Linked DNA regions of Astyanax mexicanus. The protein of the gene in region 2 purifies or fractionates together with the protein of the main gene of each other region. This does not show direct contact. Links are inferred from orthologs where the notes say so. Each region holds a gene or a part of one and is shown on either strand. Other genes may lie near its edges.

The links. Proteins that work in one complex are often made in the same cells at the same time.
Region 1: the proteins of chd3 (region 2) and smarcb1b purify together in Homo sapiens (affinity purification with mass spectrometry; 3 studies listed by BioGRID, with this or other methods). This does not show direct contact. The link is inferred for Astyanax mexicanus from reciprocal best matches to the Homo sapiens genes CHD3 and SMARCB1.
Region 3: the proteins of chd3 (region 2) and znf512b purify together in Homo sapiens (affinity purification with mass spectrometry; 3 studies listed by BioGRID and IntAct, with this or other methods). This does not show direct contact. The link is inferred for Astyanax mexicanus from reciprocal best matches to the Homo sapiens genes CHD3 and ZNF512B.

Annotation. Positions count from the first base shown.
Region 1 is NC_064424.1:46,282,187-46,289,897, forward strand, and holds the start of smarcb1b (SWI/SNF-related matrix-associated actin-dependent regulator of chromatin subfamily B member 1-A), read right to left. Parts: upstream 3,017-7,711; 5' UTR 2,971-3,016; coding exon 2,887-2,970; intron 1,094-2,886; coding exon 982-1,093; intron 822-981; coding exon 692-821; intron 567-691; coding exon 429-566; intron 1-428. Other genes in the region: hmgcrb (3-hydroxy-3-methylglutaryl-CoA reductase b), read left to right, coding at 4,638-4,662, 5,673-5,860, 6,056-6,167, 6,548-6,635, 6,757-6,841.
Region 2 is NC_064415.1:23,862,590-23,869,845, reverse strand, and holds the start of chd3 (chromodomain-helicase-DNA-binding protein 3), read right to left. Parts: upstream 3,011-7,256; 5' UTR 2,639-3,010; coding exon 2,473-2,638; intron 410-2,472; exon of another isoform or gene 1-409. Other genes in the region: cytochrome b5 domain-containing protein 1, read right to left, coding at 4,275-4,505, 6,422-6,640.
Region 3 is NC_064420.1:16,117,255-16,124,521, reverse strand, and holds the start of znf512b (zinc finger protein 512B), read right to left. Parts: upstream 3,017-7,267; 5' UTR 1,825-3,016; intron 1-1,824. UniProt on the Homo sapiens protein: Involved in transcriptional regulation by repressing gene expression. Associates with the nucleosome remodeling and histone deacetylase (NuRD) complex, which promotes transcriptional repression by histone deacetylation and nucleosome remodeling.

The DNA.
Region 1 (7,711 bases), on a different chromosome or scaffold from region 2:
ATCTGTACTCACTATAAATGCCAAAATGCTTCTGTCGTTCTGTGTTTGTGCATATAGCATTAGCTTACTAGCTGGTAAGGCTGTGCAATGGATGGATTTTCAAATTTTGAAAGTAGTCTATTATTTACTGTGAAGCATTAAGTGTATTTTTTGTACTGTTTATGTTTGCCGTTTATGTGCATGCACTATTTTATGAATCTGGCCGTTACAAATGACAAAATGAACCAGGAGTTAAAAGCTGGTTAACATTAACTTAGCAGAATAGCTAACATTCTATTCAATACAGAAGCTCCTCAAGTTCGACTGACTAAAATCCTACTTATAAATGTTTCTTGCACTATTTAGTAAGTCTATTGAAATACTAATAAGGAAATAAGAATACGTTTTAGCCACAGCCATGGCAATTAAGAAATTAAACCATCTCTCACCACAGGGGAAACGTCCTCTTCTTGTCCCGTCCCATGCGATTTCTGTTGATTGTAGTGGAGCAAGGCACAGCATCCAGGTGGTGAGAGCTGTTGGGGAGGGTTGGAACCCATTGGCTGTTCCTCTTCGCTTTCTGCTCTCTGAATAAAATGGAGAGAAAACAGTCCATCATCTAAACTGACTGTCCTTAAAATAAGTAAAAAAACATTTACCTACATTCAGGGTATTTTCAGTCCAGGAGAAAAGACAAAAAAAGGAGCCGTACCTGAGATAGGCTGGAGGTTCCGTGCTGATGGACACTGCCTTGTATTTCTCATCGTTCCCCTCAAAGATCTCCTCGCACTCAGACGCTTTCAGCAGAGTCACACTGGTGGCTAAAGTTGTGTAACAATAACCTACACAAAATAAAACACTGCACAAAATGCTGTCCAGAAGCAGGACTACAGGACTATCTGGAGCAAAGGCATGCACTAAACAAGACCGTGGTCTCCTAAAACTGCTTTCTGGACTTAAAATCATCATAAAACAAATGCTATTGGCATTCGAATCACTTACCGTGTGATGATGCTACGATCTTTTTCCTCTCCTCCACTGACGCAAGCCGTCGCCACAAGGATGGGTACCTCTTGTACAGTGACCCTCTGAACATACGCAGGTAGTTTCCTACCTATAGGGAACAATATGCAGTCAAAACACAATCAATACTTGCAGTGGTGTGCAAACAAAATCATACAAAATGAAAAAAGCATTTAATCTTTCTTTACATATACATATCTTTTAGTCCCATATTAGGTGTATATTTATAGACAAGATGTTTAAAAATAAAAATAAACTAAAAAAGCACTGACCCAAATAATAGATAATGATTATTACACCCGAAATATGACAAACATTAAATACCACTACAGACCACAAATATCTCTCCTGTCAGACTGTTTGGTTTTATTTGGTCATTTTAATTCTGCACTGTATACTTTACTGAGGGCGCCCCAGGCCTGACTGTAATGTATGTTCTTTTCTGAGCTCTTCAGACTGTTTTGAAAGAAAGATTTAAACAGTTTATTTTCTGGAAATGTGGCTTATCTGGTTAATGTTTGTTTACAATACTGTTTAAGATCCGCTCTTCTGTCTTCTGACAGAGAAGCAGCACTAAGTATGTATAGTTTTTTTTTGTTCCATCAACCATCACTCTACTGAACTCCATATTACACCAATAAAACAGAAACACTAACTTTTATATTTTGCATTTATGAAAATTATTTAAACTACTTCGTACATTAGGTCTATTGAAGACTAGCTTTCATACACAGCATACAATATCTGTATTCATTGCAAGTTATGTGGCATATTTGCTATAAATACAGAAATACAGATATTGCTGTGTATGAAAGCTAGTCTCATTTATGTACACTAAGTAGTTTAAATAATTTTCTGACTAATATCACTTATTTTTCAAGTGGAGTGTATCATCACGTTAAACCACTTCTGATATACATTGAAGAAAACATTACAATGCCAGGTCCTAGTTTAATAAACATACATTTGGACAGGACAATATGGCCAAAAAAATATATATCACAAGTTAGAGTCCCTAATTCTGGTTAAGAAAAGATATAATTTTCAATATTGATAAGAACTACATAAAAGCACCAGAAAAACTGCCAAGGATGCCCACAACAAATGTCTGTACCTACAAACATCTTAAAAATAAAACTACTATTCTAATTTTTTGAGATGCACTAGTGTGTGTATACTGCTATTCACTGCACTCATTCATGATGCTGTGATTAAAAACAGGGTTATTCCACCAAATATTGATTTCTGAACTCTTAAAACTTTAAGAGTATGTTGTTTGTAATTTATGGAATAAAACAATAATGATAATTTTGCTCAAACATTTACCTATAAATAGTTAATTCAGAGAAACTGATTCAGAAACTGAAGTGGTCTCTTAATGTTTCCATAACTGTGTGTGTGTGTGTGTGTACTGTAAATATTGCGTTGCTTTGGTGAAGACCGTTTTCATAAGGCTACAGTAAGGGCTTAAATGATTATTTTACTAAATCTAAAAGCTGCAGTAGACAAATATGAGGTTTTAGAAGTTGTTTAAGGACAGTGTTGGTAAAGCTGATGCTGTATCTAACACAGACTGGGGGGTTTACTGTAAACATCACCACACTGCTGCGGTAACTCAACACAGACATGATTTAGAGCAAAACTGATGTGTATAAACTGATACATTCAGTGTAAATCCAGTGTGAATTCAGTGTAAAATTCAGTGTAACAGTGTTTTAAGCGCTGCCTCAGTCTTCACTCATTCATCGTTAGCATCTATGCTAACAACCAACAAAGCCTGAGGGGACGGCGCGCTGTACCGGGGGTTACCGGCCTAAACTAGCCCCCAACCCTTCGTATTCCGAGTTCAGACTCTACAGGACTGATAAAACGCTTAATACGCACCTCTGAACCGATCATATAGAAATCTCCATCCTGCTCCAACTGGAATTTAATCGGTTTCTGACCGAACGTTTTACTCAACGCCATCTTGCCCAGCACAATGCAGCGCACTGCGCATGCGCGGAATCACCGGCAGACACAGGCCCGCATCCGCTGGGATGATCAATAAAAAAAACCCACACAATTTCAGCACAAACAAATAATTAAAAATAATTAATAAAACAGAAAACATCAAATACAGAATTTTCCCACACTGAGCTACAATTAAAATAACAGCCATAAGCAGTGTGAGAGAATTTATCATAGTGTTTTTATAATAGCCAATAGAGAAATTTGAATTACAGATATTTATGCACGTACAGTGGCATAAAAAAGTATTTGCCTCTTACAGATTTCTTTCTTTCTACATTTTTCAGATGATCAAACAAACTTTAATTTCAGACAAATATAACCTGGGAAAATATGTAAAGCACTTTTTAAATTAAGATTTCATTTATTAAGGAAAAAAATATCCAAAAAAATGTGAAAAGGGCCCGTTTTTGGAAAGCAACATTATGAGTATGTAAAAGTAGCACATATTGATGGCTCGCATGATTTTAGCTGACTCGACCTCTAGCTCAAAAATGAAAAAGGCAAAAAAATGTAAGGGGTAGTTTGAGAGGGACGCTGGGTGATGTATGGGTTTAGAGGCGGGGTAGGAAGGAGAGCCGATTGGCTGAGCTGCAGCAGTAGCAGTGTGCCTCTGATAGTGGTGAGACGCAAATGGTTGTGACTTCAGTTTGTGACTAATTTGCATATTGTGAGTTAAAGGTTAGGAAATCTTTATAAAAAAATTTGCTCAAGTGCTCCATAAGAACCCATTCATTTTAGGCCCTCTAGTGTCTCAGACCAAACTTAAAAAAAAGGAGGGCCCATAGTTAGGGTACAAGTGTGCAGCCTATACTACACAAATTGGACCAGACCCTGGGTGACATCACACACCGGGGGGCGTGGCCAGGTCGCCTTGGTTGACTCACAGCCGCCATCGCTGTAGAGGGAGGAGAAGCGGAGGAGCTGCGGAGCGGATTATATCATGAAGGTAATTCTCTGGGCGGAACACCGGTCCTCTAACCCGCCACCGCTCTCCGGAGCGCGGCTCTGCCCGCGCCGCTGCTGCTTTCAGGACGCGGGTTTGACCTTGGCTGATGTCTGTGGGTAGAACTGCTTAGCTTTCGGCTAAAGGCAGCTAGCAGGGCGTTAAAATAGACACTCGGTGTTGTGCTGTCATTCGTCCTCGACGAAATCCGGCTTCCCTCCGCTTCCTGCTGTTCTCTGATTGGTTGAAATAAATGAGTGCTGTCTGAGCTCTAAATTAGTTAGAGGGGCTGAAAAATCGTTTTCTTAGACAAAAAAGATTTTTTTTTTAAATTTTATAATATTTTAACGTGTTTTTTATAATACCAATATTGTTTAAGTATTGTTATATTAACAAAAAACATTTAAATATTTTTAAAGATATATTTACCTGGAATGTTTGATATTGTAGCTTATACAAAAAGTAAATAGTGTGAATATACTTTTTCTTAAAAGAAAAAAGACAGTTTAATTAGTTAAACCTGCAATATTTTTGAATATTTTGAAATATTAACCAATTTATTTGGTAATGCATTTTTTAGTCTGTGGTCGCAAAGTGGTGGTTGATTCTTTTTTTTTTTTAGCAGGCGGACGGGTCCTTTGGGGTGCAGGATTTGGCATTTGACGCATTCTAGTGCAGCATGTCGGAACTGATCCAGTATCAGAGTAACAGGACACATGTGTTTCATCATTACGCAAAATATTGGACTTCTGTTTCACCTCTTCTTCTAATCTCAGCTCTTATTAATTACATACTGTAATAATTTATATGTAATGTATTCATAGCAAACGCCTATGTATTTTTGTATTAAAAAAGGGGAACAGTAAAGCAAAAACTGGCCAGTTAGTCCAAGTGGTTCTTTATAAGTAAATAATAGAGAGGAATAATAAATATAATATATTTTACTCATTATATTAATAATATATTTAATTTGTGTAACGTCTGGTTCATATTGCTGTATAAATTATCTGATTACAATGCAACAATAAAATTATCATCCATAAAGAGGAGGAAGTGGAGGATGACAGTTTTGACAGCTTTATATTATAAGAAGCAAGAACTACTCAACCAATCAGTCAATCCAAAACATTTGAAAACTTTTTTAAAAACTTTGAAAGTATGCTTAAGTGCAGTCACTGCACTGATTGGTGTCTCTGTGTTGAGATTTGAGCTTCTCCCGGTTCAGATTGGTGTCTCTGTGTTGAGATTGGAGCATCACCAGGTTCAGATTGGTGTCTGTGTTGAGATTGGAGCATCACCAGGTTCAGATTGGTGTCTCTGTGTTGAGATTGGAGCATCACCAGGTTCAGATTGGTGTCTGTGTTGAGATTGGAGCATCACCAGGTTCAGATTGGTGTCTCTGTGTTGAGATTGGAGCATCACCAGGTTCAGATTGGTGTCTGTGTTGAGATTGGAGCATCACCAGGTTCAGATTGGTGTCTCTGTGTTGAGATTGGAGCATCACCAGGTTCAGATTGGTGTCTCTGTGTTGAGATTGGAGCATCACCAGGTTCAGATTGGTGTCTTTGTGTTGAGATTGGAGCTTCACCAGGTTCAGATTGGTGTCTCTGTGTTGAGATTGGAGCTTCACCAGGTTCAGATTGGTGTCTTTGTGTTGAGATTGGGGCTTTACCCGGTTCTGATTGGTGTCTCTGTGTGTGTCTCTCTCCTGCAGAAGACGTGCTGATTGCTGTGACGATGCTGACCCAGCTCTTCAGGCTGCATGGCCTGTTTGTGGCCTCGCATCCCTGGGAGGTGATCGTGGGGACGATCGCCGTGACCATCTGCCTCATGTCCATGAATGCCATCGCTGGAGGAGATCAAATCTGTGACTGGAACTACCAGTGCCCTAAAGTGCAGGAGGTACATAGGCCTTTAGAGTACACACTTTCTGACTAGGGGTATTCTAATATATTAAAGGGATATTAATGTCTGCGATACTATATTAATTCTCAAAAACTCAGAATTGAGTTTTTCACACCTGTAGTTGGTTTCTACAGTTGACTGGAAACTGTTTAAAAATAAAGTGGAAACAAAATCTTTTATTTGCTCTTTCAGAAAATCCTGAGCTCTGACATCATAATCCTAACCATCACAAGGTGTCTGGCCATCGTCTACATTTACGTTCAGTTTAAAAACCTGAGGCAGCTCGGCTCCAAGTACATGCTCGGTGAGTTCACCACTGCACAATTCCTCCACAATACTTTTTAAAGAATATTAAGAATATCATCAGTGCCTGTTTAATTTTATGATGTGCTGCAAAAGTGTAAGAAATGTCACTGTACTGTTCATACTGTCTACTGGTGCATATTGTCTATGTGCAAAAACATGATAAATACTGTGTATTGTGAAAATGTCTTTAAATATTTAAATCTTTTTTTTCTTTACAAATCAAAGTGTATCGGCCAAAATTAAGAAATATATCGTAATGTAGAATTTTACCATATCGTCCAGTGTACACATTGTTTTTTTTTTGGTTTGTTTTTGCTATGTTTGGATCATCATGGACCAATAGAAATATATGGTGTGTGTGTGTGTGTGTGTGTGCAGGGATTGCTGGTCTCTTCACTGTGTTCTCCAGTTTTGTCTTCAGCACTGTGGTTATTCACTTCCTGGGAAAGGAGCTCACGGGCCTCAAGTAAGAGCTTTTATTCTTTTTTATTATTTTAGTTTATTTAGTTTTTTAATGTGCCGTTACTACTTTTATTTCGACTGTATTTCTGAAGTGCTGAGGAACCCTGTTTCTGTGTTTTCCTCAGTGAAGCGCTGCCGTTCTTCCTGTTGCTGATTGATCTGTCTAAAGCCTGTACTCTCGCCAAGTTCGCCCTCAGCTCCAACTCTCAGGTACAGAACAGCACCAGAACTACTGTGTTCCTGTTAGTTTATCTTCCCCAGAGAGTCCTATTTTTAGTGCTTGGTCATAATTACCAGCCAAATTAATACAAACTAATTAATTTATGTTTCTAAACAAACACTCATACATACTGACTAGGCAATACGTATCTTTCTATCTTTCGTATTCCCTCTTTCTCTATCCATTTTCTTTCTTTTTCTCTCTTGTCTCCACATATAAACCAAATAAATATTTATTTATAGTTTCTTTTTTGTCGCTGTTCTGCTCATTTTGTTGTTGTTCCTTAATATTTTTATTTTCTTCTTGCAATATTTTGTCTTTTTGTTTTTCCCCACCTTTTTGTCTTCTTTTTTTTTGTTTTGTTTTTTTTTCCTTCCTCTTTTCTCTGTTTTGCCTCTTAATTTGCTTATATTATTATATCTCTAATAAAAAGTGATGCCAATGAAATTGTAAAATCAACTAACACATAACATGTTAAATGACTAACATTAATGAAAATGTAAAATATGTAAAATACTAAGCTCCTATGTAGGGGTGGGCAATATTATATCGTATACAATATATCGTGAGACAGAAATATTGTGATATTAAAAATCCATATCGTGATAATAGAGATGTTCTGTCTTAAAAGTAGTCTATTATTTACTGTGAAGCTTTAGGTGTATTTATTGTATAATTGTTTTATTTTGCAGTTTATATGCTTGCACTAAATATTCTGCAATATTTTTTGCTGCATTATATTATTTTATGCTATATTTTGCCACATTATGATTATGCTTTTATACTCTTATACTATATTCCTGAAATTAATTAATTATTTTTCTGTTTTCCTATATCGCCAAGTATATCGTTATCGCAAA
Region 2 (7,256 bases):
GTAATTGTTGTCTTATGTACAAGGTATCACTCAGGAGCTATAGCTAGCTATAGCTGTTTAGCCTTTTGCCTGAAAGTTAAAAAATGAGACAAAAAAATGTCCCGGATTAAGAGAACTTACAGAGATGTAGTTTAACGAGCTATAGCTAGCTTACTGTGCATATCACCTTAATATGAATATGAAATGTTAAAAGTATCTTTTAAAAAAGACACCAAGTCCATCAAATCAATAAGATACCGCCTTAAAAATGTTACCTAGCATCTTAAAATAATAAGATCAAAATAAGAATCCCCAAATAACGACTTAGAATCCCCAAATAACTACTTAGTTTCCTCAAATAATGACTTAGAATCCTAAAATAACGACTATCCCCAAAAAACGGCTTAGAATCCCGAAATAACAACTTAGTATCCCCTAATAAAGACTCAGTAATAACGTCTTGGTTTCTCAAAAAATTACTTAGAATCCTAAAATAACGACTATCCCCAAATAACCACTTAGAATCCCAAAATAACAACTTACTATCCCTTAATAACGACTTAGAATGCCAAAATAACGAATTAGTACCAAAATAATTATTTTAAAATTGTTAAGCGGCATGAATGGGCTCTCACAACCATACTTAACAAATAAAACCCTTTCTGCGGTCATGATACAGTATAAGGACAGATACGCGCTGTCTGGTTAGGGGTTTTCGGTCCTGTGAGGCAAAAAAACAAGCTAATCGGTTGCCATTGCACTCAGTAAAATTAGTTCTCCTGTTCTGGTCCGCCTTTGTTGCTAGGACGCAGCGGGCGGGCGAGCGAGCGAGCTTTTTTTCTCGCGCCCGGCTGGCCTCGCGCAGCCAGAGGCGGCAGCAGCGCGCACGCGGGTCTCGGTGATCGAGAGGCCGCGTCCGCGAGCCACGCGACGCAAAGCGCGAGGAAACTGCGCCTGCCCTCCTGCTGCCGCGGGGCCTCTTCACCTGGGAGCGGGGCGGAGAGGAGCTGCGGGCTGCTGGTGGGAGTCACTAGAGGGGATGCAAAGGGCGCGAGGGGGGAACGAGGGGTAACGTTAATTGATTCGCGCGCATCTTTGCACCCTGCGCGACTGCGAGACCCCTTTCTATGTTTATTTTATTTTTTTGCACAACTGAAAAAAGGCCCCAATGAGTGCAATCAACACATCCACACATGCGTGCATCCATGCATGCACGGCGACCAGTTATCACACAACAGTGTAATGAGGATATGCATTGCGCCACCATAAAGTGTGCCCAGACTTTTGTTTTGATTTAGAAACGCATCTGCATGTAAACAGGTCATCTTAGTATGGGGCTAAGGCACATGCCAAACTCTTATTGGTATCCAAATATTAGACATAGCTAGCTATATATGTAACTTATAGATAAAATCTATAGTTACGAGCAGTATTTCGTAATAGTGTGAAATAATATAAACACACATAGCTAACCTAACCTAGCTAACTAGCTATATCATATGAATGTAGACAGCACTGCTTAATATATGGTTCCTTGTTATGTCTAACTATTACTCATACTTATTAGCTACATCTTTATGATCTATGGATAGGTTATGTGCAGTGAGTGTACCATCATAGCTATTGTGTTGTCTTGAATAGCTAAGTATACAAACATTGCCAACTATAAAACCACCTATGTATACATTTTCTCATGTGGATTTGTGTTGTTTGAGTGTTGTTAGTGCTAATGACAAGTTAATACATAAACTGTGAGCCACTGTACTCTCCATGAACCACCTAGATTAGCTACCTAGTTAGTTAGCTACGTTAGCTAGTTGGTTAACCTAGCTAAGCTTAGTTATCTTAAAAGGGAGGTCTGTCCTGCCCTGAACTGTGGCAGTCAGAGTGACAGTGGGTCGGGTCAAGTTTATTTACAGTCTGTCACAACACTGACCACTGTCTCAATCAACCGGTAGTCCAGCGCTCTGCACTCTTCTGCAACCCCTCTAGTTAGTTAAGATAGCTATAGCTACTACCTATAATGCACTCGCCATTCGAGGTCTGGGGCAGTCGTGCGTAGTAGACATAACCTCAGGCAGTTTTTGCAAAACCTTACAGCGAGGAATCATTAAAAACGTTCAGCCATAAGCTAGGTTAAGAAGACAATGCACATTATTTGGCAATAGAAATTGGTGTTAGCCGGAGCAAGTGCTGAATGGCCCAACGGGACAGCGATGGGGACACTGGGAAAGTTTAGTTAAACTAACTAAACTCCACGGGGTTTATCTAGAGGCTACGCTTTATTTAGCACAGAAACGCAGTGAGCGAGTGGGCTATGCCGAAGCAGGCTAACTTACTGAACCTAGCTAGCAGTGCAGATGTTGTTGTCCCCCCGTGTTACGGGTCACACACACACTTTTTCCCGCTATATAACGCCGTAGCTACGTTTCCTCACTTTCTCCTCCGCCGCGCGCTCGCTCGCTCCCTAGCTCCCCCGTGTCTGCACGGTACCTGGCGCGGCGAGGGCTGCAGTTTCTCGAGGCGCCGCCGGCGAGTTTATGTCGCTTGCGTTCTCGTCCAGGTCCCCGTCGTCTTCTTCTTCTTCATCAAAATCTCCTCCCTCGGAATTAACCGCCATGCCCTCATCTTCCTCACAAGAACGGAGAGGAGAGGACATTATATGCCTGTCAGCGACCCCGTCCTCGAGATCAAAAAGTGGATTCCTCCCGAATTATGATATTTATTGAATATTCAAATCGACACACAGGGAAAAAAGTGGGGGGCGTTTTGGAATATTTTACACTACAAGGCAGAGAAACAAAGATGGCCGCCCTTATATTTATTTTTTAACAACCCCCCCAATAAGAAAAATCCCCTTACATAAAAAATGGCTGACTATATTATTTCAGAACGCCCCCCCTCCTCCTCCTTTCTCTCTCGCACTCTCTCTCTCTGTCTCACTCTCTCTCGTCTCCCCTCCCTCCTCTAAAAAACATTCTCAGTATTGTTCCAGCAGCAGAAAGGGGGTGTATGTAGAGCTGAGACTAAGTTGTTGTATTTTATTAACTCGTCATTTGCTCTGAGTGTTTTTGTTTTCCCTCGGTCTGTCTGTCTCTCTCTCTCTCTCTCTAATACTTGCCTGGCAGCTAACCTAACTCTGTGCGTGTCTGTGCGCGCGCACGCGTGTGTGTTGCATACTGTTGCGAGTGCACGCGGACGCCAGCGTTCACTCTCGCCTTAACACTCCTTCTGCACTGCAGAGAGCCTCGCAAATCTAACAAACATGGCTACCTTAATAGTCTTAAAGGGCCCCGCCGATGTATAAAAAAATATTCTGGAGTGAAAGGCTTTGCGCCGCGGTCTCGTCTGGCTGCAGGCTGGAAAGAACGGACGGGGGGGTTGGGAAGCTGTGCCGCAGCCATGCCCAGATTTACATCAGATTGTGTTGCTTAAAAATTAACCATTTAAGGCGCGGATGGAGGGAGTCAAACACTTATTCATTCCCCTTAGAAAATGGACGATTAAAAGACCTGTAAAAACATCCCTTTCTGTGTGATTTTTTTCAAGGAATCAAAACAGTACAAGTACAGTAGAACAAAATTTACCCCAGTGTCCAAAAGAAACTTGCATGCTGTTAAATTTCACTGACTGAACTCAAGTGTAACTGTGCAAAGCAATAATTACTTGAAAATACCTCCAGACAACACAGTTTCCCCTTTGTCCAAAAAAAAAAAGAAAATCATCTGTGTTGACCCTGAATATCAACAAGTAATTTTCACTCTCAATGGTATGTAATTAACCTGGGAGTAAATGATAACCTTAGCTCTAATTAAATGTTATGTCAGTGGCTCAGTTTGAAAAATGCACCATGAAATGTAATGCATGTAATTAGTATGCCTAAATTGTTTTTGCCAAGTTAAATGGTTCTTCACGTGTAAAAAAAATAAAATCAAATTTGCAGATGATTTTATTAGCTTACATTTTTAATATGTTTCTTTATAGTTCTATATAAAAAGGGGCAAAGAAAGTCAAAGAACCCCTGTTGCAACACTACATATGAATGTTCTAAAGCGCAAGCTACTGAATTTTACATGAACATTCACTATAGCAACTGCCAGCCACTGTTATTAAGGTGAGGTTACGGCACTATTACGGTTCTACTTTGAATGATGGGGTTTATCTGGGCCAAATACAAAATAATGGGGTCAACAATTAACCATACATCGAACACTCTTGTAATGCTTTACTGTAATGCAGTTACATCATATGATGGGGATAATGAGAAGTTCATATAATGTAAAATTGCGATCAGGTCAAAGTTCAGTAAGGTCATCGTTGAAGTACAGGCATATGGACTGAGTGTAGAGGTCACAATCCATGCGACACTTGTAGAATTCCTCATCTTCATCTGGGATGCCATTTTCTTCTAGGGTCTTACTAATATCTAAAATGACACCGTCATGCTTCCAGGTGTAGCTGGCCGCATGGGAGTTGTAGCGCAGGTATCGCTGCAGGATCTCATCTAGTGTTTCCTCAGAACACACCTGGCCAGAGAACAAAGAGAAAAAAAACTTTCAGTTACTAGTAATATTCCTAATATACATGGTTAACACACATGGTTAACACACACAAGTAAAGCTTTTTTTTCCCTTTAAGTAAAATACATTCACCCAAATTCCTCCACATATATGAATTATATAAGCAAAGCCTCCTGGATCTGCTAAAAGAGAGGAAAGGAATTTATGTCAGTTTGATCCAATAGTGGTGCACTGCCAAGAACCACTGGAGAGGGAGGGGGGAAGCGGAGGGAGAGTACAGAATGGGGTGGCTGGGGGAGCAAAAGAGAAAGACAATAGGAATGCTCTGTTAAGCCTTTGGACCATGCAGAATAGCCCGATGCCAGATGGGTCATGTAGCAGGAGTGAGCTTGCCCACCCTGCAGTGAACGTGGTGGCCATTGGACTGCACAGCTGAAGCACAAGCCCAGTCTTGGACCACTTACATTACCAGAGGCATAACATCAGTAACATTTCCCTTTGTCAAGAAGGAGAATCAGATGCAGACTGCAAGGGGAGGGTGAAATGAGCAAGGCAAAAGAAAAAAAAGGAAGGGGGGGGGGTCAGAAAAAGTAACAAGAAAGAATAGACCAATCCTGCCCTCTTCAGCATGCGGGAGCACAGTGCAACAAACCTTCCTGACAAAAGGAAAGTTACAGACACGTATTTATTTTTAACCATGCACATACAGTACACTACATGTCCAACAGTTTGTAGACATATCACATCCTTTAAATTATGGGAAGACTTTCTCCAAAGTACCTTTTTTCAGTATATATTAAATATAAAATAATTTATTTGTGAAGTATCCCAAATATAGGCATTTTCAGCACCCAATTCCAATAGTCTTTAAAGGGTTAAATCGGTTTGCATTGTACAAATCAGAAATTGCACATCTGAATAGCGAGATAAAGATAATGATGTGACGCTGTGATGATTTTCTGTACACTCACTAACAGAAAAAGCACCAAGCTACTGGAATCAAATGTAACCTTGTTGGTGTGACTGGAACAACAATAGATAGTGATCAGGCATAACATTATGATCATTCCAGTTTTTGCAACCATAATCCATTTTTTCAGCTCCACTGAGCACTCTGTTGTTCTATATTTACAGACAGTAGTTAATCTGTTTCACTGCATACTTTATTATCCTCCTTCTACTCTGTTTTTCAAAGGTAGTGTGTGTTGTACTGGCACGAGTGGAACAGACACAGCGGTGCTGCTGAAGTTTTTAAACACTCCAGTGTCACTGCTGTACTGAGAATAGTCTACCAACATTATCCTTTGAAGAGCTTCCTGTGGGCAATGTCCTGTGACCATTGATGAAGGACTAGAGGGTGACCAACACAAACTGTGCAGCAACAGACGAGAATCCGTCTTTGATTATGTCTAATAGAGTAAATATTGTGTGGACACACTGTTTAAAAACTCACTGCTTTGCCTGATTCACTTGTGCCAGCATAACACACCACCACATCAGTGAGATACTGATACTGAATGAAACAACATTTACTGGTCTGACAAATCTTGCTTTCTTTTATAACATGGGGAAAGCAGGTATGCTCACATGCGGGATAAACTGGAACAACAAATCTGATCTGTAGCAGCTCTACCTAACAACTTCCAGGGCCTAAAGCATCTGCTGTTTTATTGCCAAATAACACAGGGCACCTTCAGAGGTCTGGTAGAATGAGCTGTTTTGCTGGCACGCAGAGCACCAACAGCACATTAGGCATGTTGCCATATCGTTTTGGTTCATCGCTGGATAGTCCATACTTGGCCATTGGGATTATTAAAAGGCAATGCATGTTTAATAGAGAAACACACATTCTCTGGCATCATAAATTTGTGAATACACCTTGTATCCTGTAACACTTTTGCCATGTGTTCAGTGTGGCCTACCTCCAGGCTCTGCTCCTGGGACGTGAGGGTGTTGATAATGCGAATCCAGCGGGTCTTGGCAGAAAGCAGGCCCACCTCATAGCGGCTGTCCCTCCACCACGGCCTTCCGAAATCATTAGCCCAATCAGTGCTAGGGCAGGGAGGGGGCACATGCAAAAAGCGCCCTCTAGGGGTGAAGTATTTCACACAACACGATAATGGATCGATGTGGGTACGAATCTGAGCAAGAAGACATAAAATAAAATCACTCTACTTGTGTCTACTGATGTCCAGTCAATTCTGGTGTTATTTTAAACAATTTAAGCCATTTAAAATATGACCAGAGCTGACATTGTTTTATTATTTTGTGCCTTAATAAATATGCTAAAATACTCAGTAATCAAGATTCCAAACAGTCTAAAACAAAATGCTAAGAATTTTCAACAGATTTTTAGAAATTAAAAATAAAGATTAACTTAATATAATAAATCTTTGACACATAATTAATTATACTGTTGGTCTAACGTCAACATTTTATATACAATAACAATATTACAAACTGACATATTTCTGTGCTTTCCACGTTTTCTGCAGAGGATGGACATCCCTGAGAACAGGTCACGTTTTAATTATAGATTTTTGCAGATTTTATGCAGTTTGTATAATAGGTAATAGGTAAAAAATATTGAAATTACATATTCTACATAAAACTGAATGGTTATTACTCTAAAAATAGAGTAAACATAAAAGAATATACTTATTTTACTTACATGAAATATGTATATCTTATTTGTATTCTACTATTTTGACATATTATTATTATTATTAATATTATTACTATTATTATTGTGGTCTT
Region 3 (7,267 bases), on a different chromosome or scaffold from region 2:
GGAATTTAACACATACACACCAACCTACAGTTTCAAACGCTGTGCTGCGTTTGTCTTGTGTATTCGTGGGTACTAAGAGTGGGCGATATGGCCCTAAAATAATATGCCAATATTTCTGCAAGAATATATTACAGCAACAAAATTTATGTTAAACCTTTGGTATATTTGGTATAAATAGGACCGTTTATACCAAATAACAGTTTCAAACATTCAGTGGAAAAAAATACATCGGTAAACTTTTGTGTATTTGGACAATAACTCTAAAACCTTATAGTAAATAAATAACAAAAAAATATACGGCTCTCAAGAGTGACAAAACCTATTATCTCACTATATAATTTTTTAACATTTAAAAATTATCATGTACACAAACGATAATTCGTAACAATAAGTATGTAATGATATGTGCGTCCTCTGTGTGCCTTGTCTTGCCATGTCCGTACATTAATGTGTATGTGCTTCATGTATGTGTGTTTGAATGGGTATGTGCTGTATATCAAGTTATGTGTAGGTTTGTCACAATAAATGAAATCAGCAGCATCATTTTGCTAGAGACCCTAAAGCTAGGTCACTTAATTTCCCAACTAGTCATCAGCTTCCACCTGACTGTAACTCACACACTACCTCTGTTGCTCTTCAGACGCTGACGGCTCGTAGTTTGTAGTTGTGTATGTGCTTACTGTGTACATCTACCTTATTCTGCTTTGCTCTACCTGGCCCTACCTCACTCTCATTGCCTTGCTGTGCCTCACTCTACTATGCACGTCCACCAGCCTTATTATGTCAGGTGGGCAGTCTGCAGCATGAAGCACGTGGGTCATGCAGTTTGAGTCTTCAAGGTTCTTCAACACTCTGGCTGATATTTTGATATGTTCATAGTGAAAAATTTAATTGCGATAATGATAAAAATATGATTTACAGTACAGCACTGTTCTGTTTGATCGTGTAGCTCAGTGTTTCCTATCCCTGGTTTTGGAGGCCCACTACCCTGCACACTTTAACTCAATATTGGGCTGTTAATTGGCATGTGTGAATGGGTATGTGCTGTATATCAAGTTATATATCAAGTTAGGCTTGTCACAATAAATGAAAGCGTCAGCGTAATTTTGCCAGACTCCAAAGCTAGGTCACTTTATTTCCCAACCAGTAGTTTGTAGTTGTGTATGTGTTCACTGTGGACGTCTACCTTATTCTGCCTCGCTCTAGCTCACTCTACCTCACTGTCTCGCTGTGCCTCACTCTACCTCGCTTTTCCCCCAGCCTTGTTATGTCATGTAAGCAGTCTGCAGCATGAAGCACATGGGTAATTTTTTGGCTGGTGTTATCACAGCTATTTTGATGTGTTTATTGTGAAAACCTAAATTGCGATAGCGATAAAAATATGATCTACAGTACAGCACTGTTCTGTATTACTGTGTAGCTCAGTGTTTCTTAACCCTGGTTTTGGAGCTCCACTACCCTGCACACTTTAACCTAACTCAATATTGGGCTGGTAATTGGCTGACTGGTTGGATCAGGTGTTGTGTTGGGAGTGGGGAAAACACTAAAATACGTTGAGTTGGTCTGTTGAATATTCCCATATCGATGTGGAATGACATACATTAAGATGATTCTATGTTCTCCTAATTCCTGCACAGTGTAACGCAGTGTTATATGTTAATGGAGACTTATCGTTGGATCAAGCGAGTTGGGAGCAGGGAACACACTATAATATGCAGGGCAGTGGGCCTACAGGACTAGTAGTGAACTAGCTGACCCCTGTTCTGACTGGTGATGATGAAATTGCTTGTTTTGAGCGTCTGCGTGCTGTAAGGCCACACCTACCTGAACCGCTGGAGCCACCCAAACACTCGGCCGGCCCCAGCCACCCGGGGCACCCACGTGCGCTTCAGGCTGTGTGATCCTCACGCCTCCCTCAGGGCGCTACATGGCAACTCCCCAGAACTGGACTGGACTGGAGGAACACCACCGCCGGTCACTTCTTCTTCAGCACCACCACCACAGCCCCCACCGTGGCTCCACAGCAGGAGGAGGAAGAGAAGAGGAGGAGGAGGACCACGACGACAAGCAAGAAGAGGAGGAGAAAGAGGAGGAGGTGGAGGGAGGTGGAAAAGAAGAAGAGCAGAGAAGAGAGAGAGAGAGAAACAGAGAGAGGAGGAGGAGGAAAGGAAACGAACCCAAATGAACCCAAAGCCCCTGACCACCACTTTCACACTGTTCCCACACTTCTCTTCAAAACACACTCAGAAAGAGAGAGAAACAGAGAGAGAGAGATAAAGAGAGAGAGAGGGAGTCGAGACGTGGAAAAATAAAAATAAATAAATAAAGCTCCACAAATGGCCACGAAGGGAAAAAGGCAGAGACGATAGCGAGCCCGGTACCCCGTCCGTCCGTCCGGGTATAAAATAATCCACCACAATCCGCTTTTATAGGCAGTGAAGCAAAATGGCGACTTTAATACGAAGGAGGAGGTAAAAAAAACCCTCGCGCGGAAAAGCTAAAGGCTCGGCAGGACCGGAAACGTGTTTAGTACCGTAATTTCTCCACCGACACGACCCAGTTATCGGTGCAGGGCTGAAACACAGCAGCAGCGGATCCGCTCGGGAGGTTCGCCGCTTCGACGGCGGCTCGGGCGCAGTCCCAGCCCTCGGTTCCTCCCCGCAGGCTCGAGCCCGGGTCTCGCGCCGCTCCTTTCGCGCGGCCCGTGTACAGTAACTACGGCTCTACAGCACGAGCTGCCGCTGCTGCCGCTGGTGGGTCACGCGCGAGTCCGCCTGTCACTGCCGGAGCTGCCGTTACCGACTGGAGGCAACTTACAAACTCTCGCGTTATTACTGTGACGCCCCCCTCTCTATATATTTATATATTTATTTTTTATATTTATTAATTATTTTATTTATTTAAATGTTTAAATATTACCCATATTTCTGATTAATAAACGCCCGCATGCGTGAGAGAGAGAGAGCGAGAGAGAGAGCGCGCGAGCGTTTGATGCGGCGCGACGTAACGCCGTTCGCTCGTGACGACAGGGGTTAGGGCTTCATGCTAACCAACACAATGTGGCAACCCACTTCAACGCCCAAAATAACACCAGTCACACACCAGTCCTGACTGATTGTTTACCAGTGTCTGTAAAATGTACTACTAATAATAATATCAGAACTATAGCTCTAAAAAAAAAAACACCACTTTAATGTAAATTCGGAGTAGTCATATAAGATTTACTTATCATGGCTCATCAATTTTTTTTGTAAATTTTTAGTTTACTACATAATCTGAACACACAAACTGTCCTGTGTCACATTTCCTAATGAAAGGACCAATAGAAATAAACTCTTTTTACATTAACTTTTGAAAGAAGGTTTAATCTCTTTCCTGTAAAGATGCTGTTTTAGAGATTTTTTTAATGGAATTTTAGTATGTTATATAAGACTAGAATTGTTGTTAGTCAGAATAAAAAGATTGTATTAATTATTATTTATTTCTAATAATAATTAAGTAATTATAAACATCTGTAAATAGAGTTTTTACTAGTAAAGTCTAATTTAAAATAAGAGACAGTGAAATTCCAGTACCAGTTAAAGGCTTGGACACACATTCTTATTAATATTTGTTCTTTGTTTGTATTAACTACTCCATTGTACATTGATATTAAAGAAGTCTAAAACTATGAAGAAACACATATGCATTAGGTAGACACCTGACACAAAAATAAATAAAAACTCAGCCCAACTGTTTTGGATGAGTTGGAGTGCAGAGTGAAGGAAAAGCAGTTAACAAGAGCTCAGCACCTCTAGAACTCCTTTAAGACAGATGGAGAACAATTCCAGGTTCTATCTCATAAAGCCGACTGAAAGAATAAAGCCAAGAATGGGCAAAGTTGGGATCAAAGCAAAAGGAATCTTAGGTATAAAACATATTTCGTTTTTTTTGTTCATTATTGCATATGTGTTCCTTTATAGTTTTGATTTCTTCAATATTAATCTACAGTGTAAAAAATAATAAAAATAAAAGAAAACATTACATTAGAATATGTATGTCCAAACTATTGACCCGTACTGTATGACTGTATAACTGTCAGAATTACATTAAGGATATGTGGTCCTGGTCACGTGACTTGTGACTGGACCTATAGATGTATGTAGCCGATTACTACTAAAAAGTGTATGGTTAATATCAGAAACTATAGTTTCTACTAATAATAAGCTTTACTGGTAAAAACTGAGATAGGACTGGTATCACTGGTGTCATTTTAGGTTAAATCAGCTCACTATAGCTAACCAGCCAGTGTGGAGAAATATACCATGTTTTTTTTTTTTTTTTTTTTGCATTTTGCATTATTATACACTTGAAAGTTTGGAGTAATGTTATGCTGTTATTAATGCACTTATATTTTCTATAAAAAAAACAATGCAACCACATAAATCACATAAATGACAGACTAAGATGTGATTTGTAATTAAATTATAATTTTTATATTGTTATTATTATAATTTGTTGTATTAAATCTTAGATTATAGCTCAGATGACCTGACCCACTTTAGTCAGTGCAGTTCAGTTATGTAATCGTGATTTATGGTGAGTAATACTTAATAGCACTTAGACAGACGAGTCAGACCTTCAGCATAGACTGTGCTGCTCTTCAGGATGACCCAGTAACGACAGCGTATGACCCATAAATTGATTTCTCGTCAAACTATGACGTAATTTAAACAGACGTGCAGTACCGACGTCACCACCAGGGGGCGAAAGAAGACCGCTTTTTGACGGCGCTTTTCACAATGTAACACTTTCTGATTTCTGATTTACTAAGATTTATCATTTAATGTTAATGAAATGAAATGTGCCTGAATTTAGTAGTTTTTCAGGCGTCTTTTTCTTTACAATGCCACGTCCTCAAAAAGGTGATTCAACAAGGTCATTTTAGGTCACTTTGACGTTATATTCAGGTCATTTTAGGTCATAACCCTGGGGTTTCACTTAATATGTATGATAATAAATAGAATATATATTTACTCCTTATTTGTGCACGAGCAATTAATGTTTCATACAAATTCAAGCAAAAAAAGTTTGCTTAAAAGCTGTAAAAAACTGATAATACGTTTCTGTTCAAAGCTAATTCTTACCTGTTGTGTATTTTAAGATATTAAACAGTAGCATTTTAAAAATACTTACTGGTGACAAATATATGTTTAATTTTAAAGATTTAAATAATTTGTTCTAAGTTCTAAAAAGCAGCACAAACACGCACATATTTACAATGTGAGTTTAATTTACAGTTGCATTTATTTGATATCCAATGAAAACAAATCAAATAATTTATTATTAGCTATTTGTTTTATGAATTATTTTAATGTATTCATAAATTCACTTAGGAATGTACATTTAATTCAGTAGCAATGTCAAATAGTTTTTATCTAGCCTTTGGTAAATTATATTTTCTCTCTCTCTCTCACACACACACTCGCACACACAAAAAGCAATTAATTTTTTGATCCTTCCTGTTTTTTTTATCAGTTTAAAAACTGAATAAAACTTATTTATATATATATTTTCCATTTACTTTGATGAAGAAGAAAATGATCAATTTTTCCAGTCTTTAGTTTTTTATTTGTGCCTTTCACTAACAGAATTATAAAAATATATATTTATTGTAATGAAAATCTGATGATATGATGCAACTTGTTACAAGATGAAAAGTCAGAAAATTGAAGATTCATCTTTTTATTTTTCCTGAAATTCTAGTTGAAAAAAAAAACTAGAAAATTAGAAAAATAGATGAAAACCCAACATCAATTTTTTATTTTGCCCTAAATTGTCAGACAATTGAATTACAGATACAGTGACCCTTCCTTATAAAACAGTCTGTCTCCAGCATATTTAATAATAATTCAACCAGCTACAAATTTATAGTTATATAGCTAGATAGTTATAACATATAGGTAAAGTTTGCTAACGAACATTGTTTAACTTTGGTTAAAGTTAGCTAACATTAACAGTTTAAAGAATTATTTTATACTGTACAGTAACTACTTAAAAATACAATATAAATGGTCTGAGGTAAAAATGAGCTAGTTTACCTAGCTAGTTAGCTAGCTAACGGTTTTACCCCAGAACTGAATTCAGGAGCTTTAATATGAACAGCTGTGATTTTGGTTCGGCATTTTAAAAATGTAAATTTAATAAAACTAATAAATATATTAGTAAATAATAAATATTGTTTCAACACTGAATTGTAACTCAATGCTAGCTGGAATTTCTGTATCTTTTTAAATTGGCACAATTTAAATTGAATTCTTACCTGTTGAGTTTAATGTACAAAACAGTAAAACAAAATACATATCCTGTGACAGATATTATTAATTTTATAGATTTAAATCATTAGCAAGTTCTAAAAAGCAGTCAGAGGTAAAAGAAAAAAAATATATAGAGTTAGCGCTACTAGTTTACCTAGCTAGTTAACTAGCCAACGGTTTAACCTCAGAACTAAACTCAGGAGCTTTAATATGAACAGCTGTGATTTCTACAACCCAGTTCTCACCTAATGCCATGAGCTCTGTTATAAGAACTTTAAGACATTTTAAATGTAAAAATTACATTAGGAGAACAATAGGACTACTAAATATATTATTATACAATTGTTTCAACACTGAATTGGCGCTGAATGCTAGTTTGAATTTTAGTTTGTTTTTAAATTGGCAGGTCGCCAATCCAGGATCCACATCGAGGAACTTTAACCAGTCTCAGTAAATGTGTTCTTTTGTATTTTAAAGCAACTAGAACAGTGGAAGATGACACCAGGCCAGAACACAAGGACACTCACCCAAACCAAATCTCTCGTTATATATTTAAGTTGAAACTGGTTGTGTTAATGTGTTTAGATCATATGTGGTTGCGAAGAGAATCCAAAAAGCCCCCTAAAAATGTGTCACCTTAACATTATTTGTCTTCTGGATTGATCATAAAGGGATTATGGTTTTACAGACAACAATTTATATAAATATGTTTTACTGTGTTTCACAGACTTTACACACCACAAGGAGGCCACAAGAGGGAAGTATAGTCCAGGTGATGGGGTGAGGTCAGATTGTGAACCACGGAAGACTGATCAGTGGTTTTATTGGTCATTAAATCAGGGCCAGTTACACCAAAATTTCTACATTTCTAAACATTTCTAAAACCTAACAACTTAGTGTATGGGAGAACTACGGGCATTTTATGTGTTTACAGTTTTAGCAGTGCGTTGAGCCGTGGTGTATCATTTAAG